2 linked regions of the Diceros bicornis minor genome follow. The main gene of each other region encodes a partner of the protein of the gene in region 2 in a complex. Links are inferred from orthologs where the notes say so. Each region holds a gene or a part of one and is shown on either strand. Other genes may lie near its edges. The genes, in order: IGSF5 and LNX1.

Region 1 (15,245 bases), on a different chromosome or scaffold from region 2:
CCAAGTAAAGAGGAGAGGGCAGGCTGGAGCCCTCTGGGTGCACATGGAGGTTGCCCTCAGCTACTCAAAGCCAAGTCTACAAACAGGGTGTCTTTACCCCAAGACTTTCCAAGAGGAAGCATCCACAGGGCTCAGTCTTCTGCGATGGACCCCATCCCCGGGGGCTCTAGAATGAGCCCATAATACTCTCCCTTCCCAGAACAGCCGTCTCCAGGCCTCGACCAAAGCCATCCCTGCCTTCAAAACAGACTTTAGGAAAAATGTCTCAGAAAAACTATAGACCCAGATTTTGTCAGTTTCCCACTAAACCCCTGGAAAACACTTTTGCAACCGTGGCTGAGACAGGCCCGTCTGGAGCCATCTCCCTAACACATGCACAGAGCGTGGTCTGCTCGCTCCACGATGAATCCCCAAGCTCTACACAAGCAGGGACCGTGCACCCCTGTCCACCCTGTGAACAAATGTTTCCAAGCACCTACTAATCGCTTAGCACTGCCTGCTATAAGGAGGGGCTTCTGAACATCTCTGCTGCCCCCAAATGCATTTTACCACCACAGCCTGGGACCCAGAGCCTTAACATGTAATACCCAAAACCAAAATTTTCTAAACAGTACTTACTGCATGTAACACCTCTGATAGTCCCTATTCTATTTTATTCCATTTTAATTGTTTAACGCTGTCATGGCCAGAGTTTCTTTAAAAAGAAAAAAAAAAAACATTATCCAGCCATCTAAAATAGGGTTCATATGTACAGAAAGTGCAAAATTTATCTATGCAGTTAGTAGTCAGGATCACGGTCACTTTGGGGGGAAAGGGATAGGGAGTGACTGAAAGGGAACATTTGTGGAATGTTCTAGGCTCACTATTGACACAGGAAGGTGTTCGGCTTGTGAACATGTACCTTCAGGATCTGCACACTTGTCTGTGTGTGTATTATTCTTCAATACGATGCCTTAAAAACTCTGCAGTAAGGAATACAGGAGGAGGACCCGGAGGTTAAAATCTAGCCGGGAAAACAAGACAAACGCACCTGAAGCAATGAAATCTAGACGAGACACAGTGAAAGCAAAGCTGGGGGTCCAAACTCCAGTTACCTAAGGCCCCCATGCCCGCCCACTCCTCTTCCTGATCAGGAGAGCCTGGCCTCGGACACCCTGGAGTCCACTCCGACCGACACCCTGGGAGGGTCCCACGACGAGGAGGAGCTGTGGGGGGGTGGGAATCACACACAAGGGGCCCCTCACCCTGTCAATAAATGGAGCTGGGATTATCACCCCAAAAACTGCAAGGTCAGGAAAGCTTCCAGGAGGAGGTGATGCTGAGTTGGGCCTTCCTTGAAGACCAGATGGAAACAGAAGAGGAGAAAAACCAGGCAGGGGAGGGACATTTCGACGAGAGCGATGACATGTGGGAAAGTACTGAAGGCATGTTCCCAGGACGGCGAGGACCCCAACAAAGAGGACTGGTGGGGTCAGATGCACCTGGAGGACCGCTCCCGGACTTGAGGGGACGTGGCAGGAAATGGACCCCACTCAAGAGGGCGCGGATGGAAGGGGACGCGGTGGGGAGTGCCTAAGGAAGACTCTCTGGAAGCCGTGTGTCCTGGCAGCCTCATCTGGGGTTCCTTATTGCCCACTCCAAGTGGACGCCCAGGAACATCCCTCTGAGCCCCCGTGATCCTTACCTGCCAGCCCAGCCAGGACCACCAGCACGGTCAGGATGCCTTTGCAGCCGCTCTCCATCTCCGCATGTTCTTCCTCCCCTGGGAAACAAAGCCGCAGGTCACAGTGCATCAGTGATGGGCAGTTACTGTCAGAGCATGTGCAGCCTCCCACGGTCCGCGGATGGGTTAATCAGAGCTTCTCAGCATGGTCAGTGGTACCAGCCTGACCTGGGAACTTGTTAGAAAAGCAAATTCTTGGACCCACCCCAGACCTGCTGGATCAGAAACTCCGGGGGGGAGCCCAGTAATCTGTCTGAACAACTAAACAATCTTCCGATTCTGGTCCATGCCCAACTTTGAGAATCACTGTATTAAATGATCTTACTCCCAAGGCCATGTATAAATTATGAGATGCAGATGGTATACCGTTACCGCTGAATCACTGACCGAGGTGTCTGCGTGTGGGTTTCCTGCTATGCATTTCAATCATGATACTTTCATCACTGAGAAAAAAAAAAAATCCTGCCCATAACGAGTTTACATTCTAAAGGGAAAACAGGCAACAAAATAAAGAAATAGATCATAAGCCTACTGGAAGATGGCAAGAGGTATGGAGAAAAATAGAATAGGGAGGAGTGTGTGTCAGGGGCCATGTGCATGGGGTGGGCTGGCTATCGCTTCAAATAAGGAGGGCAGAGAAAGGCTCCCTGAGAAGGTGCTCCATGAACAGTGAAGGAAGTGAGGTGACAGCCACGTGGCTATCTGCAGAAGAGCTTTCCAGGCAGAGGAACAGCAGGTGCAAAGGCCCTGGGGTGAGACTGTGCCTGGAGTGTTGGAGGAACTGCAGAGAGGGCTTTGGGGCTGGGGCAGAGTGTGGGGTGAGTGGAAGGAGGAGAGATCAGGGTAGATGGAGGAAGGCCTTACCGGCCCCTCAGCAGCACATGGGGATACTGTCATGTAGGCCTCTTGGCCCTTCCTTCCAAAACATTTGTTCTTTGATAACCCTCCTGCTCACCCTCCATCTCTGCATTTTTTCTTTTTTTGTGTGAGGAAGATCAGCCCTGAGCTAACACCCATGCCAATCCTCCTCTTTTTGCTGGAAGACTGGCCCTGGGCTAACATCTGTGCCCATCTTCCTCCACTTTATATGGGACCCCCGCCACAGCATGGCCTGACAAGCCGTGAGTCCATGCACACCCGTGGTCCCAACCTGGGCCACCAGCAGCAGAGCGTGCGCACTTAACACTACACCACGGGGCCGGCCCCTCTGCATTTTTTCTTTTTATTTTTTCCTTCCCCCCCGGGACAGGCCTGTCCAAGGCAGTCACCAGCACTGCTCGGTCCGGCTGGAGGACTTAGAGTTAAATCACCCACTGAACTTATGGGGAATTGTCTGCAAAGACAACTGAGGCTCCTGAGCCTCAGGGAAGGGTCTCTTTATTTCAAACATTCCTCAACACCGCTGACCTGTGGAACACAGTGAGTGGAGAGCGGTTTTCGCTTTCGCTTTGGAGTCGCGCAGATTTCACAGCCCTGCTGGGGGGATCCACCTAGTCCCTCCCAAATTTGGGGTGCTGGGTTCCATCAGGGACGCGTGTGGGATTTTGTAATGAGCGGACACACTCATCCAGGGCTCCGGTCTCCCTTAATCTCTCACAGACCGTGGGAGGCAGACCCCACAGCAGCTCACAAGCAGAAATACAAAATCTGAAGTAGGCGCAGGTAGATAACCTCCACACCTCAGTCCAGGAAACGCCCTCCTACAAGCTGCTGAGTAAAACAGAGGCAGTGTGAAGGATCACATGGGCTCAGGCCCGTGACCCACACTGTTACTGGGTATTCACAGGTCCTGAGAAGGAACATGGGGTTTCCATCACCTCGTTTCTCTCATATCTTTGGAAAGCAGAATTCAGCATGTGCGCTGAACTATAACCACTCGTGTGCGGTACTGCGAGGTTCAAAGCATCTGTGCTGCAGTGCATACTGTCGTGGAACCCTGCCCCTTGCAATGATCTAAAACAGACCCTGCGAATCCCTGAACATATGCTGTACACAAACCGGACTGAAATCACGGCCTTCCAAGATTGATTCAAGATCCCGAATTACGAAGAGCCGAATAAATCATTTACTAATTTTAAGGTTCAGTGAACACAACTTGACAAGTCAGTTGCTTTACCAGTCACCTGGAATGCTAGATCCAAGCACAGGATGAAGGAGAAATGGAACCGTCGAGTGATAAAAGGTTACACCTCTTACTAAATCAATAAATGCAAAGTGTGGACTGGGCATTATTGAAACCGTGGCAACAGCTTAGAGTCCACTAGGAAATACTTCTAGCCGCTGATAAGCAAGGGAGGCAGGCTGCAGACGAAGAACAGATGACCTAACTGTCAAATGCTCCATTCTGCCCCTGTCCTCACACACCACTCCCCTATTATCTGTATGAGAGAATGAAGGACTCCATTTCTAATGGGCCCAGCAGAACTCACAGGCGGGCAGCATAGGAACCCAGTTGCAAGGTTACTACAGATGTGGATTTGTGCGGGGATGGTATGTGAAGGGTGTGTGCAGGGAGGAACTGTCATAAGGTTGATTTCAAGTTTCAACTCAAATCAGGCAAGTTGCTTTAATTGAATGAAGACCTATGCTGGGTAATTTGCAAGTTAATATCTCTATGCAGTAGTTTGATGGGTCTTTGAGGTTTACCTTCTTGTTCCTTCATTATGGAAGACTTGCATTACCTACTTTTAGTTGAAAAACTGTGAAGTCTTCTTAAAATCTTAAATCTTATGAAATAGACAGGATTTTAACCCTCAACCAATTCCTTCCTGCCCTGAGAAAGCAAAATAACTCAGACTGTCCATCTGGACCCACCAAGCTAGTCATCACAGGAAGAAAACTGCTGAACTTGATCATCTCACTTAATTACCACGCACACAAACCCTTCCCTGGGGGTTCTGAGGAATAGCTGGATATCATAAAACCCAAAGGTGTGTGCCAACGTCCTGTTTTAGGCAACAGCACAAGAACCAAACTCTAAAAGAAAGGAGGCAAGTGCTTCTCAGGGTTAGTGAGAATTAGCAGCAACAACATCCACTCCACGGGCTTGCTGCAGACCTGCAGGCCTAATGGACAGGCCCCAGCATTCTCCTCCACTCCCTGAACCCCAGCTCTGTGCACCCCTACATCAGGAGGTGCCTCGGCAAGGCCTGCGACTGAGGGCCAACTCAGCACTTCCAGAGACGTCAGAGCCAGTCTCTTATCCTTCTCATTAGGGGGGAGAAGAACGGCATTTCAAAATCTGTCCGACGAACAACATGAGTCACAGAAATATTCCAGCATTTGAACCCTGACCTCCCAAACTCCAGCAGAGTCTCGGCTCTCAGCGCATCCCCAAGAACAGCTCCCCATGAAAGGGACACTCGCTAGATCAGAGATCGTCTCGAAGTCCTACACGCTCAGAGCAGCCGGCTCTTTTAATCTTTAACTTCTTGGAAGTTGGGAAACAAAGAATATGTGTTTGATCATCCCACGCTTTCCCTGGGAGACAGCCGATGGCCTCCGGGGGCCTGGTCCCCTGCTCCTTGGGAGGAGACCTGGTCCCAGTGAAGAAACCCACCAGACAAACCCCGCTGGGAGCCACACCCAGGAGCTCTCACCTCACTCAGGCAGGGAAATCTCTTCAGGACATCAGCGAAGGTTCTCGTCCTGTCTCCACACAAACGCAGGAGCAAATCTGTCTGGCCACCAGAGAATCTCGGCCCGTCCTCACCAGCTAACAGGAAGTGCCTCCCAAATGCTCCTGTCACGTCACAGGCTGGGCTATAAACCCAGAGGTGGCCTCCACCTGCCACAGGCTCCTCGCCCCCGGAAGGTGTGGGTGCCCCAGGGCGGCACATTTCCTGTTAATCATTAGCCAGCCCCGACCAGCAGCAGGAAGTCCGGCCCGGGTTGAGAATGCCAAGGCCGCGGGGCCAAGGCTGTCCTCCTACTCGGCCTGCCCTCCCTGTTCCTCCTCTGAGCCTTTCTCGAGTCCCACAGAGCCAAGACCAGAATGGGTCCCAAGCTGTCCTGCTGGTCGTCTTCCACCAGCTGGAGGCTGGCAGCTCCTTCCTGCCTGTGGGCGGCGGCCTGGCCAACCCTGCTCCCTCCTGGCCTCTGACACAGATCCCAGCGGCCGGTGAAGCCGGTTCCTTCTCCCAGCCAGGCGCCTCCACATCCACAAGAATGGGTTCTTTTGTGAAAGAAAAAAAAGGCCGAAGGGTGAAGTCCTCTGGAACGTGGCCACCTTGAGGAGTGAAGCGGTTTCCTCTGGCGTATTTGCACCAGAACTGTTGAGAGGTTTTCTGCAGCCCTCCCACACCCCACCCCAGCGCCTCAGAACAAAGGGACTTGGTTTTTCAGAGCACCGTGACAATTGCTGGAAAGACCATCTCCCAAAATCCTGATGCGCGGCACCGTTATTAAACTGTCTGCTCTCGTGCAGTTCTTTTTGAATGTCTGGCTTGTCTCCTTCAGTACGTTTTAATCTTGTCAGGGGACTCAGGGTCAAGGGTGTCTGCACAGGATAGGCACCAACACAAGGTGTGGGTCAGACATTTAGAGTAAGACCCTGAAGTAAATAAATAGGGGGAAATGTTGTGCCTTCCAGTTGAAGGGGATCAGAATATGCCACCCCAAAAATATGTCAGTTTGGCATAAAAGTTATTTTAAGCTGAAGACATTTGAGATTCAACAGATGTAAAAAAGCCTTCTCAGAGCTTCCCTTTTCTCACTAAAAGCAGCAAATTCTGGGAAATAAGGCTGCCATAAATTCCTCTTCAGGGTGGATCTACCCCCAGAAGGGAGAACGTAAATAACGTACTCCAAATCCCTTCTCCAAGAGAGTTTATGACCCAGAATAAGATGGAAAGACCACTCATACCTGTATAGACAAACATTATCACCAACTTTCTTATCTCTCATTCGTTCTTCTAAAAATCTATTTGTCTTTCCTAAATAAACCTATTTGTTCTCCCCTCTTCCATTTCCCCTGCTAAGTTAGGTATGTAAGCCTTTAACTCCAGCCATTTAATGACCCTGCTACTTCCTTTGTTGGTTCCATATGCATGCAGAATAAACCTTTTCTCCTGTTAAACTGTCTTTTGTCAGTTTAATTCACAGTCCCCAGACAGTGAACCCAAAAGGGTAGAGGAAAAGTTTTTTTTTTCCTTCTCCTACAAGGCCCTGTGCTAGGAGCTGGTCAGAAAAACAGTGAGCAAAACAGATAGACTCACAGAGTTAACATATTAATCAAATAATCTAACAAGTATACACAGGGTCATAGCACCTTATTCAAGCACTGTGTCCCTGATGGCCTAGCATAATTCAAAACTCAAATAATTGCAGAACAACGAACCACAGAAATAAAAATCTAAGGTGCATATAGCTCATTTTGGCCCTGATGAGCTTTTTTATTTTCTCAGCTTCAGTCCTAATATTTAGACTATCAGTCATCACTGGGAATCATGAGAACTGGCCTTCAGAGCACAGTATCACAGCTGACTTTCCTCATCAAGATTTCCAGCCCCAGCCTTAGCCTCAGCACTGCTACTGGAGAATATTGTTACAGCTTTTAGAAAATTTTAAGTTCTCATAACAACGAGTGTGTAGGGAAGGAAACAAATTTTTTCTCTACCCTTTTCAGTTCTGTGCCTGAGGGCCTGGAAATTAAATTGACAAAAGAGAGATTAAACTAGAGTTTGTTAACACGCGCAGCACACGTACCTGCAGGGGAAACACAGTGATGAGTAACTCAAAGAAGTGATTAGGACTCAGGCTTAGGTAGAATCTTAACAAGACAATAAATTCATAGAGAAGTGACAAGACGAAGAAAAAGGAGCTTAGGTTTTGAGGGGCAGCAAACTGTGGGCAGGTGAATATATAGGGGAGACTAATGGAAGATAAGGGTTGCTTTTGGTACAGTTCATTATGTAGATTCTGATAAGAGTGTCCAGCGACTAAGACCATTTTGCCCTTCCTGATACAAGAGAGGGGAGGACAGGGGGTTTGTTTGGTGCCTGCTCTATCATCTTCAGTTTAAAATAATCCTTCTGCCAAAGTGGCATATTTTGGAGTGGCATATTCGGACCCCCTACAAGTGCCATAACAAAATGCATATATATAACAATAATAACCACTCTCAGAAGGTCTGTAGCAAGTGGAGGGCCCCCACTGCCAACCCTGGGCCCGGGGTTCTCCTGTCCACCAGCTCCTGAGCAGCTGCCTCTGGGACCAGAGTGAAAACACGATTTACAAGTCATTGGAAATGCAGCTCTGAAACTGTGTGATCCTGAGGAACATTTTTTTTTTTCGAAATTTGGGAGGTTTGCATTATTTCAAAGTTTGAGCATAAAGAGAGATTTTACTAATATTTTTAGCCTAAGCTATTTTAAAATCACAAAGTTCAGATTCACATAAAACATATTCACACTGTGATTCAAATTGCAGTAAAGTCTCTGAAGGAAGTTTTGATGAAGGGGGCGGGGTTCTCCAAGGAAACTGGGTTTGGGCTCAGCTGGTGGGTGGGCAGTTAGGAGCTAACCAGGTAGGAAGGTGGAGGGGCCGGCTGGACCACCCTCTGGGGCAGGGGGAACAATGTGCGTCTAAGCCTGGGGGCAGATGGCAGGAAGCCTGGTTCACCAGAGAAGTTAAAGAGGCTCATGGGAACGGATGCAGAGAGCTGGGAGGCAGAGGGGGCTTAGATGAGCAGGGTCCAGCCCAAAGGTACAGTCACAAGTTTAGTTTTTATCTTCAAATATAAAAAGGAATATCAGGAAAGCAGTGAAAAATTTTGAAATAGACTAAGAAGGTTACTGAATTATCTGATAATAGGGCCTGAGCTGTCTTTGAACGACTTAAAACGCTAGTTCATGATGGTTAACTTTATGTGTCAACTTGACTGGGCCACAGGATGCCCAGATATCCAGTTAAACACTATTTCTGGGTGTGTCTGTGAGGATGTCTCTAGAAGATGTTAGCATTTGAATCGATTGGTAGACTGAGTAAAGCAGATCGCCCTCCCTAATGTGGGTGGGCCTCATCTAATCTGTTGAGGGCTTGAATAGAACAAAAAGGTAGAGGAGGGGCAGATTCTCTCTCTCAGCCTGGCTGTTTACCTAAACATTGGTCTTCTGCCCTCAGACATTGGCAGTCCTGGTTCTCAAGCCTTTGGATTCAAACTGGAATTTATACCATCAGCCCTTCCCTTCTCAGGGCTTCAAACTTGTACTGGAACTACACCACCAGCTTTCCTGGGTCTCTACCTTGCAGAAGGTAGATCATAGGACTTCTCAGCCTCCATAATCGCATAAGCCAATTTCTCATAATAAATACATACATATATATATATAGGTTCTCTTTTTCTGGAGAACCCTGACTAATACAGAGTTGTAAGAAACTGAGAGTAATACAAATGATTCTAGTACACAGAGATGCAAATGAACTTTGGTGAGGATGCAGTTGATTTTTGCCCTGCAGATTTTGACCAGTTTTGCATCTATTTGTACAGTCAATGTAGGGGATATGTTCTGAGAAATGCATCCTTAGGCGATTCTGTCATTGTGTGAATAACATAGGGTGTACTTACACAAACCCAGATGGTATGGCCCACTACACACCTAGGTTACATGATACTAATCTTATGGGACCACCATGGTATATGGGGTGGCTCGTCATTGACCAAAACATCGTTATGCAGCACATGACTGTAAATGTTTCAGCATTCACGATGGCTTATATATGTGTGTTCTTTGAATTCTTCATTGAATCTGTTGTAACATCTCACTGGTTCCCTCAACTAATTAAAGAGTTAAATAAGATCTTGGACATGTGTACCTTTTGGATTTGTATGAGAGCCATGATTTTAAATCCTTTCACAGGAGCCCTTTGAGGAATTTAAGTATACAAGTAGCATGATCTCTAGAATATTTAGAAAATATTAAAATATAAAGTAGGTTAACTCATATAAGAGGCCCCACATTTAACTGTTTTTCACCTACAGAAATAGCAATTTCATATTAGGCTCAACCTAATATAAAGAAGAAAATAAAAGCCATCTGTATTCTCAATATCACCCATAGATAAGCATTATGAATTTTTAATGAGTAGCTTCTATTATTTTCCTTATTACAAAAGTGATACATATTCACTATGGAAAAATTAGAAAACGCAAGGAAGCAAAAAGGAGGAAAATTTGGGGGCCGGTCCCATGGCCTAGTGGTTAAGTTCAGCACACTCTGCTTCGGTGCCCTGGGTGCGGATCCCAGGCATGGACCTACACCACTCGTCAGCAGCCATGCTGTGGCAGCAACCCATATACAAAATAGAGAAAGACTGGTACAGATATTAGCTCAGGCAGAATCTTCGTCAAGCAAAAAGAGGAAGATTGGCAACAGATGCTATCTCAGGGGGAATCTTCCTCACACACACAAAAAATGGTGGAAAATTTTAAAACAGATTGCTCTTAAGACCACCACACAGAGACAAGCACTGCTAACATCATGGCAAGTATCTGCTAAAAAATGTTCATACTAGGGACCGGCCCCGTAGCTTAGCGGTTAAGTGCACACGCTCCGCTACTGGCGGCCCGGGTTTGGATCCCGGGTGCGCACCGACACACCGCTTGTCCAGCCATGCTGAGGTGGCATCCCACATACAGCAACTAGAAGGATGTGCAACTATGACATACAACTATCTACTGGGGCTTTGGGGAGAAAAAGGGGGAAAAAAGGAGGAGGATTGGCAATAGATGTTAGCTCACGGCTGGTCTCCCAAGCCAAAAGAGGAGGATTGGCATGGATGTTAGCTCAGGGCTGATCTTCCTCACAAAAAAAAAAAAAATGTTCATACTGTACCTGCTGTTTAGTAACTAGATTTCATTTACTTAATATACTACAAACCTCTGCCCCCAATCAGGAAATACATTATTTTTAATGACTAAACATAGTTCGATCAACTGAAGGTCGCATCACTTACCTTCACCTGTTCCTGCTGTTGGGCTTCACATCGCTTGAGGTGGTGAGCACCATCACAGCTGGGTCAGAGAGTATACGCCTAATGATTTCCTTAGGATCAATTCCAAAAAATGTAGTTGCTATTATGGAGACAGTAAACAGATCCGTGATTGCTGGGGGGAGGGATAAATAGTCAGAGAAGAGAGGATTTTTAGGGCAGTAAAACTACTCGGTGTGATATCGCAATGGTGGATACATGTCATTATACACTTGTCGAAAACTTTAGAATGCACAGCACCAAGAGGGAGCCCTAAGATCAACTATGGACATTGGGTGATGATGATTTGTCAACGTAGGCTCATCAATTGTAACAAATGTACCACTCTGGTGGGGGATGTTGATACTGGGAGAGGCTATGCCTGTGGGGGAACAGAGGGCATATGGGAAATCTCTGTACCTTCTGCTCAGTTTTGCTGTGAACCCAAAACTGCTCTAAGAAATAAAGCCTATTTTTTAAAAAAAAAAATGCAATTGCTGGGTCAGAAGACACGCACACTGTAAGAAGTCTGAAATATCCTGGATTCCCAAAAATCTCTCCAAGATAGTTATATCGCCCCTAGCAGCTAACAACCAATGTGATCAACACCATCCGCTATTTTGATTGTTGACCATTTGAATGGCAAAAAATAAAAAAATTCATTACTGTTTCAGTTATAAAAGGAATGTGTTGTCAATGTGGAAAACTCATAAAAATTCACAGAGGTCATTAAGCAGAATCCAGAACCTTGCCACCCAGGGAGACCTCTATAAAGTGTTTGTCATAAAACCTTCCAATCCCTTATGTATGTGTACGTACATCTACGTGTCTATGAACGTGTATGTCTGTATGTCATGTATAATTTTTAACTTTTTATTGAAGTATTATATATAATTTTATACCCAAGGTCTGCATTTTTCACTTAACCCACTATACAGGGTTGAATAGTGTCCCCAAAAATTCAAGTCTACTCAAAACCTGAGAACGTGACCTTATTTGGAAATAGGGTCACTGTAGATGTAATTAGCTAAATAGAGGTGAGGTCATACTAGATTATGGAAGGCCCTAATCCACCATGACTGGTGTCATTATAAGAAGAGAGAATTTGAACACAGAGAGAAGATTACATGAAGACACACAGGGATAAGGCCGTGTGACCACAGAGGCAGAGATTGGAAAGACGCATCTGTAAGCCAAGAAACACCAAGAATTGCTGGCAACCCCCAGAAGCTGAAAGACGCAAGGAAGGATTCCTCCTCAGGCCCTTCAGAGGGAGCATGGCCCTGCCCACACCTTGATTTCAGACTCCTACCCTCCACAAATGGAGAGAATAAATGTGTGTTGTTTCAAGGCACCTAATTTGTGGTACTTTGTAACAATAGCCCTAGGAAACCAATACACCCACTTAATCAAATGGCCTAAATGTGTTTCCATAAATGTATATATTCTTACAAAATAATTTTAAGTGGCTAAAAAGTGTTATGTTTTATGGATGTACCATCATTTATTTAAAGAATTCTTTGTTATTAAACATTAAATTACATCTATATTTCAGCTACTAGAAATCTTTTCCTTGAACCACCATATATAGTTTCACATATTATATAGTTAAATATAATGTTGTCTGTGCAAGTTTATATCCTTTTTAGTTTAACACTATATTATAAGCATTGTTCCATATCATTAAAAACCATTCATGAACATTGTTTTAATGGCTTCATAATAATATGCTGCAGTATGATACATAACATCATATCATTATAAGTATATCAAAGTGGCTGTAAGAACACCCATGTGGTTAAACATTATGTTGTTTCTAGCTTTTCAATATTGCAAATAATACTGAGATGAGTGTATTTATGTATATAGAAGGTTGGGGGTTTTTTTTCTTTTATTTTGCATTTGGTACTGTATCTTACAGTAGGCTCTTTTAATTAGAATCATAAGTCAAAACACTAATCACTTTAAAATTATGAATAGTTAAATTAGTTTCCAGAACTATGCTGACTTACGATCCCACATTAAGTGTCTGAGATGACTTATTTCACCGCACCATCAACAGCATTAAATATTGTCATTTTTGTGAGTGTGGTTGACTGGGGTACAAAGTTAATAAATCCCTCTTTAAGTAGGAATTTGCAAAATACTCTCTGTCCACTACACACTTTAATTCACAAAATCCTAGGGGGAAAATCGACTAGGACAACATGTTCTTAAAGTTGCAAGGGCCATTTCTCCTCCTTGTGTAGGAATGCCTTTAACAGCTTTATTGAAGTTATCTTTAATATCAACCATATCATTAGAGACATAATTAGCAATTTTTGCCCAGGGCAAACAGCAGAAATTCCACCCTCTATTTAAACCAACCCAAAACTTAGTGGCTTAAAATAAGAACAATCATTTATTTTGCCATCTGGGCAGCACTCAGCGGAGATGGCCTCTCCTGCTCCGTAGTGTCAGCTGGAGCAGATCCTGGCACTCGAGGACCCACCTCCAAGACGGCTCATTCACAAGGCTGCAAAGTTGGCCCGGGTGTGGCTGTGCTGAGGGTCTGCATTCCTCTCCAGGTAGAACTCCCTGTGGGACTGCCTGGGCTTCCTCACAGCAGGGCAGTCGGGTTCAAAGAGCAACCGCTCCAGTAGACAGAAGATGGAAGATGCTAGTCTTTTAAAGCCTGGACCTGGAAACTGGCAATGTCACTGCATTTGTTCTCCGTTGCTAAATAACAAACTACCACAAATGTAGCGGCTTAAAACAGCACCCACGTACTGTCTCACTGTTCTGCAGGTCAGAAGTCCAGGCAGGTTTGGCTGGGTTCTCTGGCAAAATCAAGGTGTCCGTCATGCCTGGCTCCTTATCTGGAGGCTCTGGGAACGAATCCACTTTCGAGTTCATTTGGTTTGTGAGCTGAACTCACTTGTTTCTGGCTGTAGGGCTGAGGTCCCTGCTTCCATGCTGGCTGTCAGCCGAGGGCCACTCTCAGCTCCTAAAGGTCACCCCCTCCATCTCCTAAGCCAGCATTGAATCCCCTTTCTGCTTCAAATCTCTGACTCCCTCTCATGCTGCCAGCTGGAGAAAACTTTTAAAGGGCTCGTGTGATTAGGTGAGGTCCACTTGGATAATCTCCCTTTTGCCCCATAACGTAACAGACATAGGAGTGATGGCACACCATATTCACAGGTCCCACCCACCCTCAAGGGGGAGGGGGTTATACAAAGATGGGGGTCATTTTAGGATTCTTCCTGCCACAATCACTCCCACTGTATTCCACTGCCCAAGAAGTCACAGAATCCAGATTCAGGCAGAGGGGTGTCAGATCCCCCAGTGGAGGAATGTCGAAGAATTTGGCAGTCACGCTTTAAAACCACCACATCCTCAAATCGTTTTGGTGGTGAGAAGAGGGCACGCAGGAATGGGTGGGCATGACCTGTATTCACAAAGGCATCTTGGACAAGCAGGCTCCCAGCCCTGGACCTCGAGTCTCAGATGTCAGCCACCCTCCAAGGGACTAGAGGCCTTGTGAGGACAACCTGGTTTTGTCAATGGGCAAAGAGTGGTGTTTGCTGAGGGGTGAGTGGGCTTTAAAATGTGCAAAATCTTTCAAAAGCAGTCATTAAATTTGGGGGCCTTCTGCTGGTTCCACGGCCCTAAGCCAGGAGTTCCCCCGTGGTTACCGTCCTGTGTATCATCCAGTTCACACACTAATGGTTGGACAAAAAGCAAAATAAAAGTGGCCCTTGAAAGTGAACTTAGATTTTCAAAGACAAATAAAACGTGTTTTTGAAAATGAATTCCAAAGCACAGAAAAGTATAAATTGCCTTGGAACATCATCATCTAATTTATTCTATTCTATTTTTACTGGAGAATTCTCATTCTAGGCATGTCAAATGGCTTGACACATCACAGGTGTGTATGGCTGAGAAATGAGCACATCGTCCTTTTTTGGCAATTAATGTTTGCACGAGGGCTCCTAGTTGCTTGGGAGATGAAACTCCCTGGATGCTAATGTTGGCTCTAGTGGTGGGATCTTTCTTGCTTCTGTGGATGAGAGTTAAGTTTACTTTGACTTCAGATACGAACATCAATCAAGGAAGCCATTATAGCTTGAATTGTGTCTCCCAAAAAAAGATATGTTGAAGTCCACACCAGCAGGACCTCCGAATGTGACCTTATTTGGAGATAGGGTCTTTACAGAGAAGTCGAGTTGAAATGAGGTCATTAGAGTGGTGTCCTTATGAAAAGGAGAAATTTGGACACAGAGACAGACCTATACAGAGGAAAGACAATGTGAGGAGACACAGGGAGATGTCACGTGAAGACAGAGGCAGAGATTAAAATTATACTACCATAAACCAAAGGTCATTTGGGGCTACCAGAAGCTGGAAGAAGCCAGGAAGGACCCTCCACTACAGGTTTCAGAGGGAGCGTGGCCCTGCAGACACCTTGATTTCTTACTTCTGGTCTCCAGAACTGTGAGACAACAAATTTCCTTTCTTCTAAGCCACCTTGTGGATCTTTGATTCAGCAGCCCTAGGACACTAAGAGACCAGT
Region 2 (15,327 bases):
TGGGTGAATGGTGTTGATCCAGGAGCAGCCAAATCACCTAGAAGGACTGGCCACCCTGGGGAGACACTTTAGTGAGAGTCACCTAGTGTGGGAGTGTGAGGACATCTGTGCAGGACTTGTCAAAGCTGCACTTCAGTCCACCTCCTGGGGCAACTCAGAGAAAGTGAGAGACAACTGGAAGGGCGGCTTCTCCTCTTGCCAAATAAACCACATCACGTTAGGGGCACAGCCTGAACTGGAAGGACCAGCCTGGCCACCCTGGGCTGATGGCCGGCACTGATATCGACAAAGCCTCAAATTAAAACAGTACAAACAGGGAACTTGGAGATCTGAGGCCTCTGTTACCCAGACCGGTTAATAACCTGTCTAACTCCTAGCTCTTAACTCTCCCTAAATGTTCATTGAACTGCGCTGAATGGGTTTGAACACAAAATACAGGCCTCCTCTCAGACTTTCTCCTATCCCAGGAGGAATGAGTTCCTGGGGTCTCATCTGTCCTTTGGCCCCTTGGTTGCAGTTGAAGTCAACATTTCCAATTCAGGATTAGTTGAGCTACTCAAGAATGGGGGACTCCAGGAAAGGTTCATATTGATAACAACCCCAAATTCTCATAACTGGCAAAGGATAGTAGGAGGGGAAAGTATCCATTACTCTGTGATAATCTAAACTTTGGACTGGATGTACAGATTCCACACTCACCTTTGGAGGAAATGGCTGCTCCTGGAGCCAGAGTTAGCAGAACTGAACATGGAGAAATCCTCCCTCTACATTGCCCGGACCACGTCCACTGCCCCACCTCAACGTAGCTTCATGACCACCAGAAAGTCTATCCTTGTGTATTCCAGGAAACTAATCATGGATTAATGACAGCTACCCATGGGAATTCAGCTCTAAGAAGGGCTGAAAAGAGAAGGCACTCATCCAGGTTCAACGTCCAGTTGAAAAGGAGCATCTTCACCTGCTCATGGTATGAGAAAAGTCAAATGAACTTTCCTTTGCTGAGACTCTGTTAGTCAGAATCTGACCAAGAGCCGTCTTCCAATCAATGGTGAGTGGTTTTCATGATATTCTCTTTCTTATATTCTTTGACTTAGGGGAACTAAAGGACGGGCTTCTTGGCAGTGATGCCTGTTTTTGAGGACCTGCCCTTTCTTGGATGGAAGTGAAAGTTCATTGGGAAGGAAAACACTTCCCCACCTATAAAGTTGGCTTCTTTTGTGCTTATCACACCCGAGGAGGCCAGCAACATGATTCTCCTCTTGCTTTTGCTTTTTCCACCCCATCCCTTATGGGGACATTTTTTTGTGAGTCACATTATGTTACTAGTTATTATGAATTTTCAACTCCCTCAGGAAAAAGTTTGAATAAGTTGGGCTCTTAGGCTGGGACAGAGCACTCTATTAGACAGCATAAAAGACAGCAAGTATGTGGAGGATTCTTGTGAGGAAAATGGTAATTTGTTCTTCACTGAGGACTGAAGATACAAAAAATAGAATTAAATGGGATTTAAATTACACAAAGCTTAAAAAGCTTATGAGGTTTGAGGTGGGGATCTTTAAAAGAGGTTTACTGAAGTTGCCAACTCCACCTTAAAGGAATTTCAATTCATTTAAATATCTACAGACATGAGTGTTACCTGCAGAGCACAGACCTTTTCAAGTTCTTCCCAGGGTGCCAGCCAATCCTGACTGTGGGCACATAACTCTGACACCACATGTGAGAAGTAGTTAGTCTTTCTACCCACTCAGAGAACCCGCCTCTACATTCATGAAAACTGTAGAGGTGTAAGAGGTCTCAGGTTCTCCAGGGAGACACACACAGAATCTGGAAGCATGGTAGGTCCCCGTTCCCACTGGCCTCCCTCTCTGCCTGGCCCTAAAGGCTAAGGGCCAAGGCGAGGCTGTGTGGGGGCCCGGAAGATTACAGGCTATAAAGTCTAGAGGACCCACACTCCAACGTTGGCCCCATCATTTACTTTCTGGGCGAACTTGGGCAAGTACTTTTTAACAACTTGGAGCCTTTAAAGGAGAAGAAACAAGCCAACCTTCCTCTTTCATGCAACTGCAGCTGTCCCACTCCTTCGTTACGTTAATTTCCACCTTGTGCTTTAATTGTTTGTCTATAACTCTGCTTCTCCATTGACTATAAGTTCCTGAAAACAGAGATTCTTCTCATCCTTGACATTGACTGGCATATTAACAGTGTTTAACAAATTTGTTGTATAAGTGAACAAACGAATGACTGAAAGAATAATGAATGTCTAGATTGTAGCATAATTGCAAAAATTAAATGTAATAAAGTTACTTCCCTTCCCAAAGACTACAGGCCTAGACTCCTGGGAAAAAGAAGAGATACCTCAAGATCTAACCTAACAATGTGAATTCCCTCCCTTCCCTCATTCCTCCCCTTGTCTTACAGTCATCTTTAGTTCTTTTAACTGATATTTATCAAAGGAACTGGGCTACTTTCCTTCTGGGCACTGGGCTAAATCCTGAGGATCTGTGAAAAGTCATGTTCACTATCTGGCAGTCTAGAGAGGAGACAGTCTGTAAAAAATTAAAATCAGTAAAATAACTGCTGAAGTAGAGTGTGTGGAAAGCACAGAGCAGGCAGGGTTATCTACTTGGGGAAGTCAGGGAAGATTCTATAAAGGAGATGGCATTTGAGCTGAGCCCTGAAGATGGCGCAGGAGCTTGCCAGGCTGAGGGAGGAGTAATGCCTGAGTCTCAGGTCTGCCTGGAACCAGCTGGGCCCGTTGGACAAGTTACTTTACATCTCAGAGACTCAGTTTCCTCATTTGTTAAGTAGCGTTGGCTCATGAGATTTCTCCCAGGAATCTGTAAGAGTACGTGTAAAAGGGCATAACATCAATCCAGGCAATGGTAAATGAACAATAAATGTTAGGATGGTACTGCATGGGTAAGAGCCTGGAAGTGAAAGATGCTGGTTATTATGGGAACCGAAGTCAGTTTTTTAGGGGGGATCCCAATAAACAGTGCCTCTCTTTCCCACCTGGGTTTGGGATAATTTGAGAAAATTCAAAAGAGTAACTATGGAGGCCAAAATATCACCTTTTAAATGGAAATGGCTAAATTGGAGAACAACGCCTGGAACAAGGAAAAGGAGCTTGAAGGCACCCAGATCTGGGCGTGGCAGCTTTTCAAACAGGAGCCTGCCCAGGAAAGACTCAGAGCATGGAGCAGCAGAGGAAAACTGGCTTATTCCCAAGAGAGAAAAGAGAAGAGTAAAATCCCAAGCTTGCCCAGTGGTTCTCCATTTTCCCAGTTAAGGACTGGCAGGGACAGAGTGAGTCAAGGGTGGAGGGAGCATGGTCCGAGTTTGCTTTGGAAACCACTTTCCTGTGGAAATGGGGGTGTAAAGGAGTGCTGCTTTCTAACAGTGTTACAAGGGCATGGGGGCTAGCGGCGGGTGGTATTCTGTGGATGGAAAGGATAAGGAGATGTCGATGAGGCTTGATAAGCAGGCAGGGGCCAGATCATGAAAAACCTCGCATGCCCAGCAAGGCAAATGACCTGAAGGTGGGATGACCACTGAGAGGAAAGGAAGAGGCACTGACCAGGATTACCAAGGAGAGTGACCAGTGCAGCTGGCATTGCAGAGCATACATATACAGTGGCACCCATCTTCATGCTTGTAGGAAGAGAGAAGTCTGGTGCCATGGTTCTTCCAGGCCATTAGGAAGTTGAGGATGCTGGCAAGGAAGTGGGATCTGGGCCAGATAGGCTTGAAGTGAAAAGAGTAGGGAAAGAATATTCTTGGGCAGCCTGCATGAGTCCAGGAACCAGGGATCACAATAAGTTCAGAAAAGAAGGCAAAATTTGAGTAAGGGAGTGAAAAATCTGAATGGTTAAGAGAATACAAAAGAGAGTAGCATTCTCAGATTTTTTTGAAATAGAAGATTTTTGGGTGATAAAGAGATCCCAGGTGTGGCCCTGAGAATGGGCAGCTTAAGAAGAATAAAGGTAAATGTCCTTATAGTTGAGGAGGTCAAGGATGCTGGAAGGGTCAGGATGAGGCCAAAGTTAACAAGGAGAAGAGACATTTTACATCCTTGATATATGGTATTGGGTCAACTATAGTAGCTATATATAAAGGAACCAAGAAGAAACAAAGATACGACAACCTTCAAAATAGCAATAACCATCACCAAAAAATTGAATAAACTACCTGGTTTATGCAGGGATGGAGTCATATAAAGATATTTACAGTTGTGGAATACAGGCCTTGTGACAATTACGGAGGCAGAAACAACGAAGTCCTTTTTTTTTCCTGCTAAAGAAGAGTGTGCTGGCCACAAATCTGTGTAGTAAACCTTCATAAAATACGCACCATCTCCAGTAACTGATGTGCTCCCTCTCCTCCAAAAAGCACACAAACCAGAGAAGTGTCTGCTCCTAACCTGTAGATCCACTGAGTATTCTAGAAACTCCTCTGCAAACCAGGCAACATGCGGGCTGTGAGTTTGTGAGAAAAATGTAATCTCTTCCACATACACAGAACCAGATGGCATCCATCACATCAGCTGATATTTGTGATTATTACTATTATTTTCCATAATTGCCCTCCTGGGATCTGCTTATTTGCATCATGCTAAGTACTTGTAATTAGCCAATGAAAGATTTGGAGCTAAGCTAGTTTTTTTAAAAAACTGAGGCCAATATGATGGAATGTGTACAGCAATTCCATTTCATAATACTAAATACTTTCAGCCAAAGAGGTTTTTTCTAGAGGTGCCTTTTATTAAAATCAGATGGAATATGTTCACTTTTGTTGTGGCATTCAGTCATCTTAGACAACTCTACAAATATGCCATGAAAAAAAAAAGGAAGCAAACAAGGGCAAAGTAATTCTTACAATCACGAGGTATGGTCTTAGCAATAGGTTCATCGCCAGGGAGGAATCCTTGAGAATGCCAACCTTCATTGTGGTGATCTGGAAGGAAAGAGCTTTGAACAGAGGCCTCCTCTCCCCCTTTAGACTTCCCTGTCAAGATACATAAAAGAATTCAAACTAATCAAAAAGCCCAAGTCAGCTGGCTGGTTAACGAGGACAGGCCCAACCTTGACTTCAGAGAGCTTTCTAACACGTTCCACCTGCCTCTCCAAAGAACAAAATTTACAGGATATATTGACTGCAAAGGCGGCTTGCTTCTAAAGAGAAAGATGGTCATATGGTAGCCGAAATGGCAGACCACGGAAGTTTAGCTCAACACTGAAAACACTGTCGCTCTTAACAAATTACCCCATGCCCAAGATACTAAATTTCTTTCATTCTTTTCTTTTTTAAGCTGTTCAATCATCATGAGAGAAGTAGTCAGCAGTAATGTGAGGACCTGAAACAGTCAGCCCTTGAGGTTCTTTATGATCTGGTCCCACCTTACCCGTCCAAATTTAGTGTGTGATGGATCCTCTTCACCCCAGCAGGGTGAATCATTTTTCCCCTCCTCCCCCACCACGCCCCTCCTTCCCCACCACACGCAGGCTGGGGTCATCCCTGCCTCCATCTGTGCTGCTGCCCTGCCTGGAATGGGTTGCCCTTCTCACCATCTCTCCAAATCCTTCAAGGTCCAATTCATGTTCCATTCTCCGTGGAATCTTCCTCAATGGCACCAGCCAACACCAACCTTTTCCTTTCCTGATTATCCCTCCCACTTACTGTCAAAGGAGGGATAGAAATTGCTGCTGTGCTTGGACTTACATTGTGAAGATTCCGAGGTTACCTCTGAGCTCAAGGCTGCCATGGCCTTTTAGCAATGACAGTGAAAATGGTATGCGAGGAGGGCATGGGGCAGTGTGTGTCTAGTATTTGCCAACCCTGGTCTAAACCACCTCACTTGGCAGTGGCATGTACTGGAGCTTAATTTTACATTGTCTCATATTATCCAACTGTATGTTGTTCTATGTTTTTATGGTCGTTCTGCTAAGATTTTCAGATTTTAAAGGGATAGACTGTTGAAGTTATAGAGAGAAATGACCATAAAAGATGTCATAGAGAGTCACAACCGATCATTCTGGCGGGACCCCTTGAGTTGGGGCCTTCCCTTCTTGAGGTTGGTTTGATGGGCCTCCAAAAGATGATTTCAAGTGTGCACCCAGGGGTGATGGATTTCCAGGTGTGTTTTCTGATAAACACACGTATAAATATATCCATATGTATGTATGTTCTATATATATATACTCAGTGCATAAACCTGATTACTCATTCATTTGCAATTGGAGACATTCCTCCCCAGAAACTACACACCCCAGGGCTACTTCTACAAGACACTTGCTTCTGAATAGAGGGTAGGTAAGAACCTCGATTAGTACCCAGGCAGTTGCCCAGTGAGCATGAAATCAGAACCTTCCCCCCTTTCTTTCCAGCAGTTACAATTGTTCTGGCCCTGCCACTTGCTGGCTGTGCTGTGCTTAAGCAAGTTCTCACCTCTCTACGCCTTGGTTTTCCTAGCAGTAAACAGAAAGAGTGCTTAACTTACAGGGTTGTTGTAAAAAGTGCTTAGACAGTAAGTAGCACCTGCTAAACACTTATTTATAATTTTTTATAATTATTTTTTATAATTTTTATTTATATCTTTTCACCAATACTTAAGAAATATCATTTCCATAATAATGCAACAGCCCTAACGGAATAATGAGGCACATATTGATTTTTTAAACCTTTAAAGATTATTCTAAATCCAGGAGAATCAAATGCATCTCACTTGGGATGGCCGACTATGTGAAATACATCTAGTTTTTTCTCTTCTTTTATATACCATCCCTGGGAGTGAATTCCACTCCTGGGTCAACTCTTGTTCTTAATTTTTATTCATCAGACTATATATGCAGATGGCTGTATATATGTGAATATAGCAAGTGAAACCCTGTAGCCTTGAGAGGCCTTTGGATAAAGCTTTATGCACTGTCACTTCCTGCAAATTCTTTTCCCCTGCAAATACCCCACCACCACCACCAAAAAAAAACCTGTCTGTGATTCCTGCCTCCCAAGTCAGACCTGGTGCCCTTGGAAAAAGGTGAGGCATGACTGACACACAGGGTAGGCAGGCTGCTACAAAGACTGCTGGAGGCAAGGCCTTCTAGATGATTCATCAGGTTGGCAGGCTCACTCTGCTCCTCCTCCTCTCCCAGAGGACACCCTGTCCAGGGAAGGAGAAGCCTTTGTTGTGCTGGTGTTTCTCAGTTCAGTATCAAACTGTTGGACTGGTACTTTTTCCTAAAAGACCTGCATGTGAAAGCTTTGCAGCCTTCATCTTTTTGCTCTTGTCAATAATAAAGGGGTAGCCACACCTGTCTTAGTTTCTATTGGATAAAAATGAGGATGGGGGATTTTTGTTTTGTTTTGTTTTGTTTTTTAAGCTTCCAACACTCTTCAGAGCCACCAAGTTCCCTGGGTAGTTGAGAGCAGTCTGCTGTCGGCTAAGAGGAGAGAGGAGCTAGCTCTCCGGCAAGTGAAGTATCCAGAGCCCACCACACCAGCACCCTTGACTAGAATTTCTCCTCCTTCCCTCCCTGGTTGTTTTACAAGGTATTGAATGACTGGCTGCACCCAGTCAATGTCGAGGCCAAGAGAATGGAATTGAGACCTTCCTTCCCTCCCTCCTCCCCCTTCCCCCATCTCCCTCCCATTTATCCTTCTTTCCCCCCTTCCCCCAGCCAAAACCCCAACCAAGCAAATGATCCCCAAACCTCTAAAGTAGTACAATGTTAGAACATGTGGAACCAAAGTATTTCCAGTATCAGGAAGAGGGGAAAGAGGGGAAGAGAGAGACAGAATAGGGGGAAAAAATAGGAATTTCAACATTTTTTTCTTCAAGAGAAAAAAATATCTCTCTAGGCAAGCAGGCCACCCACCCTAGAGGGAGAGCCCACAATTTTTCCAGGTAGTACATTCCAGAGAGTGAATAAACTGTCCAGAGATGCCGGAAGGGGGCCGCAGAAATACACAACATTTAATACAAGGATAGGAGTTGTTTACAATCCTCTGAAAAATGCCCAAGAGTCGAACAGGCCTGGTAATCACTCACAGCTGCGCTGTGGTGCCGGCTGAGTTGTAGGTCTCTGTCTGCTGGAAAAGCTGAAGCAACACTGTGACTTGCCCAGGGTCACACACCAAGCTTGGGACAGAAACAATTCCGATTCCTCCTTCCTGGCTCTCACAGCAGTCAACGCTGCCACCTTATTACTGTACTATCCTTCAAATCTGAATCATTTAAATTGCTCCTAATTGCAGGCCTACAGTGAACTGTAACCTCCACGTGACTCTAACTGCTAGGCAAGCTGAGGTCAGAAGGACTGAAATTTTACAAACTCCTGAACATGGAATTAAGATGTTGGGAGGGGGTGGGGGGTAGGGAAAAAGTGTTTGAAAACTCGACTTCGAAACTGCTGACAAATACCATATTTAGATTTCTTTTTAAAAAAAAAAATGAATTTGAAATGTCACCTCCAATTTGTTATTCTGTTGGAACAGAGAAGCACTTGGAATTCAAATGGATACCATTCAAAAAGGCATGTGGGGGTAAATTTCATATTTTCCAAGCAGTCAATCTTCACACACTTCCTTTTTTGCCCACTAAATTACCGTCTCGTTTCGGTGTTTAAACTTCCTTTTTAACTCTTTTGTAGGCAGCTCTTGGGAGGTGGTGGGAGGAGGGGCCCTGGGAAGCAACCAGGCCTATAAATTCAGATCTGTCCACGGGCCTGGACACGTGCTGTGCTCAAGAAAGAAAGTAAATTCCATCCGGCAAATTGCTCTAATTGATTCATTTGTCCACCAGGGACACCACCTACCTGCTTGCAGGTATTCAGGTAAATGACAGGCGGGCGGGACCTACTGGCTGTTTCAATAGCTAAGGTCCCAGCAATGTTTTATCAGTCCAGGCTTCCGTGAGGTCACACATTTCCTGCTCCCGACCGACCAATGCCCTCCTCCTTCCTCTAGGCACCTGTACACAGAGGTTGAGGCTGTTCACTGCTCAGGCAGCCCAGGGAGCTGTGGGATTCATCCGCAAGGCATGAGAGCTTCGAGGCTGCTGCTGCTTTGAGAGCCCCAGATACTTGAAAAGGTGAGCTGAAACCTCCATTTTTCTCTCTTGGCGTTTAGACCACTGGCCCCTGAGGGATCTGAATGAGGAATTTGAATGAAAAATATAAACTCAATGGCTCAGCCCTGGGTGTTTGTCCCAAAGGGAGAAGCCCTTTTGGGAGGGAAGAGTAGAGGGATGCCTTTGACATTTTGGTTGTACAGGAAAGTCCTTCCAGGCCAGATATTTAATCCTTTTTGTTTCTCCTAATCATTAATCCAGCCTCTGCTTGTCTGGGAAGTTAATCTGATTTTTTTTTTTTTAACCCAGGAGTGGAGACTTTTTTGAAACTTGACTCAAAGGTACAGACCTGTTCAGCCCGTTTCATGGGGGTTGGGAGGCCAGCACTGACTGAATTCGGAGTTGTCTTATTTTTGCCTTATTTGCCTTATTTTGCCTTACTCTCTGCGTTCATCTTACCAGAGGCAATTTCAATCTAAACCTGTGAGATGTTCCTAAAGTTTTTGTTTTTCCCCCCAAGTCTGTTACTTAGATGGGTAACTTCTGTTGCCCTCCTCAGAAGCCCTCCACTCCAGTTCTCTCCTCCCTCTTTCTTCTCTAAAAAAAGTCTACTGTTTTCTTTGTTCTTGGTTGGACACTTTTTAAAATCACTTTGCAGTCTGGACTAGAATTGTTCATATTCAGACCTGGACTGGCTGCGTGCTGAGCTTCAGTTAAAGTAAAGATTATTTCCTCAGTGCTTAACAAGAATGTAAGTTCAGGTCTGATTTTTCATTTTTCTGAACTCCTCCACTTTTTCCTCTCTTTTTCTTTTGATGGCAAATATACCGAGGAGATTGTTCTGCTAGGACCTGACTTGAAGTAATTTTACCTCTAGGATCCATTTTTGTTTTCTTAATCCTGATCACACAGCCGGTACTACTTCTGTTCTAGTCAGCCCAGTAGCCACACTCTACACACAATGCTGTTGTTAGAGAAAGGAAAAGAAACCATCTCCAAACCTAGTTCCCTGCTAGGATGAGCTGGAAAACTTGGGGAGAGAAATCAACTTGCGAGGGATTTTTCATTGGCGATTTTTCTGAGATTTCAATTAGCAAATATGTTTGCAAGAGAATAACCTGTTAGGAATTATGCTCGTATTCATCCTCCCAGAAATTCAAAGTGCATGTCAATTCTCCAAAAGTATAAATGGAAACAAGCTCAGAAGATTTTTGTCTCAGACTGTTCCTTATCACCACTGAGAATCTGCCCTGTGCTTGTTGCCAATTTCTCTCTCACTCCTTGGAGGTTTGTATTGTTCTGTAACTGACCCTTGTGTCTCTTCTTTTCCCCTGAGCCGGTGTGTTTGAGTGGTGGCTATGGCTTGTCCCACGCTAGTGTTCTTACTTGGTTCAGAGTTTTGTCAGCAGAGGAGAGAAAAAGATCTCTGAGATCCTGAATCTTCCAGATAAAAATGTGTCTTCAAAGTCACAAATCTCGCTACAAGATTGCGTTCCCTCTGGGTTACCTTTGTATAGTTAATTTATGATTAAACAAATCATTTCATCACTATATGTCAGAGCCCCTGGCTATTAAAGGAACAAAGCTGTGGATGCTGTAGCCCCAGATATAAGAAAGGAAAAAAATTACGAAGACTGGAATTTAGGGTCAGGTTATCTAGAATGCAATTGGTCTGTTGGATAAGTTGCACATGAGTATTTTCCAAACAAGTGAAAAAGTCCACAGTGGTTCCCTTCCTGTGGTAACTCCATCTCTTGGTTCAAGTGGCAATAAGGCCTGATTGAAAAATATATTCTTTCTTCCATTTACATCCTTGAGTAAGTTACTCAACTTCTCTGACCCTCAGTTTCTTCAACAGTAAAACAGGAGATAATCTCTTACGACACAAAGTGGTCATGAGAAATAAATGAAGTAACATACATAGAGCGACCAATGTCTAGTGCCGGGTGGGTGCCAAATAAAGGCTAGGTCCATCGTTCTTGAAGGCATTTTCCTGGGTTGCTTGTAGGCGATAGTTTGATCCTACTGAGATAAATGATCTTATGTGGTTGCAATTGTTAGGACCACTGATCGTTCTCATTATGATTATTAATTGTAAGTAATTAACTCCAAGCTTAACAGTTTGGAGAAAGAAAACAGGCAGGAGGCAGGAGAATGCTTAAACTATGTCATTAAACAGGCCAGGCAGACTCGTCTCCGCCAGCCTCCCAGGCCATGTCTAGGAGCTTCCGGCCACTGCTGTCACTCCTGCCTTTCCCCACCTCAAGGATCTCATCCCACAACAGACCCACAAAATGTGGTCCTCCACAGACCTTCGGGGGAAATGTCCTGTTGTTATCTGCTGTCATCTGACTTGGCAGGCAGCCCTTTCTGCTCTCAATCGTGCTATCTCCAGGGCAGACCGAGCTTGGTCTGCTCCAGTCTGGCAGATAAATAGCCTTCACCGCAGCCTGGCGAGCTACCATGCCAAGTCACTGGTAGCAGGAGGCAGCCAGTTTGGAGCCTGTACTGTACTATGGAAGGGGGACTTGTGGATCCTTTGGATATGATTGCCCCCCCGCCCCGCCCAATGGAATATCCTGTGCCCTCCGATGACCTTGAGTCATTGCCTAAGAGCAGGAGTGTTCCCAGGCCCCTGGGACCTTCTCCAGGTCTCATCTTATCCTGAAAAGATAAGGCAGGTTTTCATCATTCAAGAGCAAGGTAACAGCCTAGTGGATTGAGGCCAGGGGTTCATAACCTTGAACCTACTACTAGCTTGCTTAGGGGATCCTGGGGAAGAACCTCAACCTCCCTGTCCATCAGTTTCCTTGTTCACCTTTTCCCACATGTGGGATGCTGAAGTAGCGTACTTCACACCCGCCCTGCGTCCTGTGACAGAAGCTAGATGGGCGGCATGCCTAGTGAGTAGGTCAGACTGACTGCAGGAGAGGGGGCAATGCCTCACCAGGAAATACAAGCCTGATTTATTCAGTTCTAGGTGGAACAGTGCTACTGCTTTACAATAGTGGTCTGGTCTCTGACATCAGACGGCCTAGATTCAAAACCCAGCTCAACCTTGTACTAGCCGTGTGACCTAGGATGGTTATTCCACCTCACTTGACCTCAGCTATAAAATAGGCTTATTGTGAAGATAAAGTGAGTTGAAATAAGTAAAGAGTTTGGAATAGTACCTGGCACAATGTTAGCTATTACCAATATTATTTTCTTGAAAGGAAGGCATAATGGGTAGAATCAGACAGTTCTGGGTTTCAGAACCAGTCCTGCCATGAATTTCTAAGCTAAATAAGTTACTTAGTATCTCTTTGTCTCAGTTTCATCATCTGGAAAATGGAATACTTACCTAACTCAGTGCTGTTGTGAAGAATAATTGAGATGGTTTCATGTAAAGTGCCTGGTATATAGGAAGTGCTCAGTAAACGTTAACTCCTGTTATATTATCATAGAAAACAATTATTATGTTGGTTACAGTTAGACTTCTTAGGTCATGCTACAGTTGGAATATAATCATGATGGAAACAGTAGTAAGTTGAGGGCCAAAGACTCTCTGAGCAAAACAGATTTCCCAAAAGGCCCCCAAAGGCTTAGACGGAAAACCTGTTAACAAAGATTATCTTGTTTATCTTGGAGTTCCAGGATAGGGTAGCTGCCAGTTGAAATACCTGGTCCTTTGCAGAACTGGGGACAGTAGGATTCTGCGATGCAAATAAACAGTGGATTTTCCTGGAGTAGTGATTCCTGGCTTCCTGGTCTCCTTTTTAGATTTGAATTCCTCACTTAAAGTGGAGAAAAGAAGGTCTGCTAGGATTCTGATTGCTTAAAAGGCCGCTCTCTAAGATGCTGCCAAGAGAGGACAGATGAGGGAGGCTCTAAAATGTGTGCTCCTCATTGCCTCAGTATTCATGGACCTCCTGGCGGTATGTAACTATTCCTGGTATTCATGTGCTGGCACCACATAGACTCACTTTTATGTGGGTGGCAAATGTATTGTCCTCTGACAGTGCCTCCAACATATCAAAGGCTTTTCAAAACCATTTGGAAGAAAGACTACATCGTTCTTCCTGGGTTAATGGGATTTAACCATTTACTAGCCCCCTAAAGTAAGGGTTAACATGAAAACCATACAAGTTGCTGAGTACAAAAACTTGGACTGAGCTGAAATCAGAAACAGAAAATGTTGGTTGTCTCCTGTAACTTGCTTGCATTCACCATTTCCTCTTACCTCATTTTATTCTAAGTGATGCGAGGACACTATAGTGACCTATAGCTTAGTTACCCAGAGACATATTTCAAATCAATATAAGGAAAAACTTTCTAAGAATTAAAGTTGTCCAAAAATCCAGTAGGTTGCCTTTTGGCAAAAATGAGTTGGGAACAGTGAGTTCCCTGTCACTGAAAGTGATTGTTTTTGGTATATTTAGTGCCTGGTATGTGTTTGCTGAACGAATGAATGAATGAATGCCAAAGAGGATTTGTGTTTCTTTAGCAGCACATCTACTCTTCTGTAAAATGAGGATTATGTCACTGATCTCATAGGATCATTTTAAAGATTAAATGAGAAAATATATGTAGAGTACCCAGCATAGTTTTTTGCACCTAGTGAAGTGCTCATTAAATAGATATAATTACTATGTTTTATTTTATATTATATTCTAAAAAGAAGATGAGAAAAGGGAGTCCTCCTTCAGGTAGAGGGTAGACAAGATGACCTCCATATTTGAGATTTGCGGTTTTTACGATAGTCTCTTTATTCCTATTCTCTTCACTCCTGCCCTCTTCCTCTGTCTTCCTAAAAGAACTTCTCCCCCCTTCTCTAGGGAGCCACGCTCCTTGACATGATGGATTGACTAGTATACTTCTCACAGTGGCAGTAGGTTCTGTCCATCCCAATTAACCAGGGACATTTTTTTTACATCACTAATTTGTGATTTGGAAGGTGTGGGCTTAAATTCCACCATGATTTTCCGGTGACTCTTATTTGACTTTTGTGTTTGATGCATTTGTCACTGGGACACAAAAGACTTCACCAACAGCAGAGTGGAAACTCTCCAAGAATTTTCTTTAATAGCTTCTTGGCACAGTGCGTGGCAACAGCACACGCGTGATGGTGAGGTCTAAATATGTCATTGCTATCTGTTGAGATGATTTGCATAACTTGCTTATGACTGCTTTTGTCAGTCATGTGGCCTTTTTTGAATAGAACGCTGCATGGTTAGGCTCCTGCATACTCACGTTAACGCATGAATCACCTAGTGTTTTCAAACTCCTCATTAAGTGTTATTGTTATACTTGTATTACGTCTTCTACAACACACACACACACTCAGCCATTCTATCTGAGCCCTTTTTACCCCTTGGGGCCCTTGCAAATTTGGTTTAACAGTCATCTCTGAAGACATCTGTATTCTAACTTAGTAATGGATTAAAAGGAAATTACTACATTTTTATACTAGAGCAGAACTGCTGTCCCTAAGTATGTAGCAGTCTAAGTGGCTGCCACCCCAACATGCTTTCCATATCCCTAAGCCATGTAGAAAAGTGTTGGATCCTTGGGAATGTTCACCCCATTCCTGGGGAGAATACTCCTAGCAATACATAGCCCCCTGTGTTAGTTTCCTAGGGCTGCTATAACAAATACCATAAATTTGGTGTCTTAAAACAACACAAGTTTATTCTCACACAGTTCTGGAGAGCAGAAGTGTGAAATCAAGGTGTTGTCAGGGCCTCACTTCCTCCGAAGGCTCTAGGAGGGAATCCTCCCTTGCCTCTTCCAGCTGCTGGTGACTCCAGGCGTTCCTTGGCTCGTGGCTGCTTAGCTCCGATCTCTGGCTGTCTTCATATCACCTTCTCCTCTGTGGCTGTCTTCTCTTCTCTATCTTATAAAGATAATTTCATTGGATTTAGGGCCCACCCGGATAATCCAGGCTGATCTCATCTCAAGATCCTTAATTACGTCTTCAAACACTATTTTTCAAATAAGATCACATTCACAGATTCTGGGGATTAGGATGTGGACATATCTTTTGGGGAGGAGGCATCATTATACCCACTACACCCCTCAACTGACATTCAAACACACAGGACTCTCCCACTACTTATGGAGAGATTTCTTGTCCACTTGGAGGCTGAAATATTGGGCAAAATATAGGTAAAGAGAGTTAGAATTGGCAGCCTTCACCACTACCATTGTTTATTTCTATGTTCAAGGCACAATAGTGTTTTATATTCTAAAGACTCTCGATGTTCGTTCACTCAGTAGTGTGA

The links.
Region 1: the proteins of LNX1 (region 2) and IGSF5 are in contact, whole or in part, in a crystal structure (PDB 3VQG), measured with the Mus musculus proteins. The link is inferred for Diceros bicornis minor from reciprocal best matches to the Homo sapiens genes LNX1 and IGSF5. Residues at the interface, in NP_001153049.1 of Mus musculus: Gln396, Leu397, Gly398, Ile399, Lys400, Leu401, Val402, Phe413, Leu416, Pro446, Ala449, Ala450, Ile453; in NP_001171358.1 of Mus musculus: Val367, Thr368, Leu369, Val370.

What each region holds. Positions count from the first base shown.
Region 1 is NC_080766.1:39,671,086-39,686,330, reverse strand, and holds the start of IGSF5 (immunoglobulin superfamily member 5), read right to left. Parts: upstream 5,371-15,245; 5' UTR 5,323-5,370; intron 1,763-5,322; 5' UTR 1,743-1,762; coding exon 1,685-1,742; intron 1-1,684. UniProt on the Homo sapiens protein: Provides, together with MAGI1, an adhesion machinery at tight junctions, which may regulate the permeability of kidney glomerulus and small intestinal epithelial cells. Mediates calcium-independent homophilic cell adhesion.
Region 2 is NC_080747.1:41,672,393-41,687,719, reverse strand, and holds the start of LNX1 (E3 ubiquitin-protein ligase LNX), read left to right. Parts: upstream 1-8,961; 5' UTR 8,962-9,085; intron 9,086-15,327.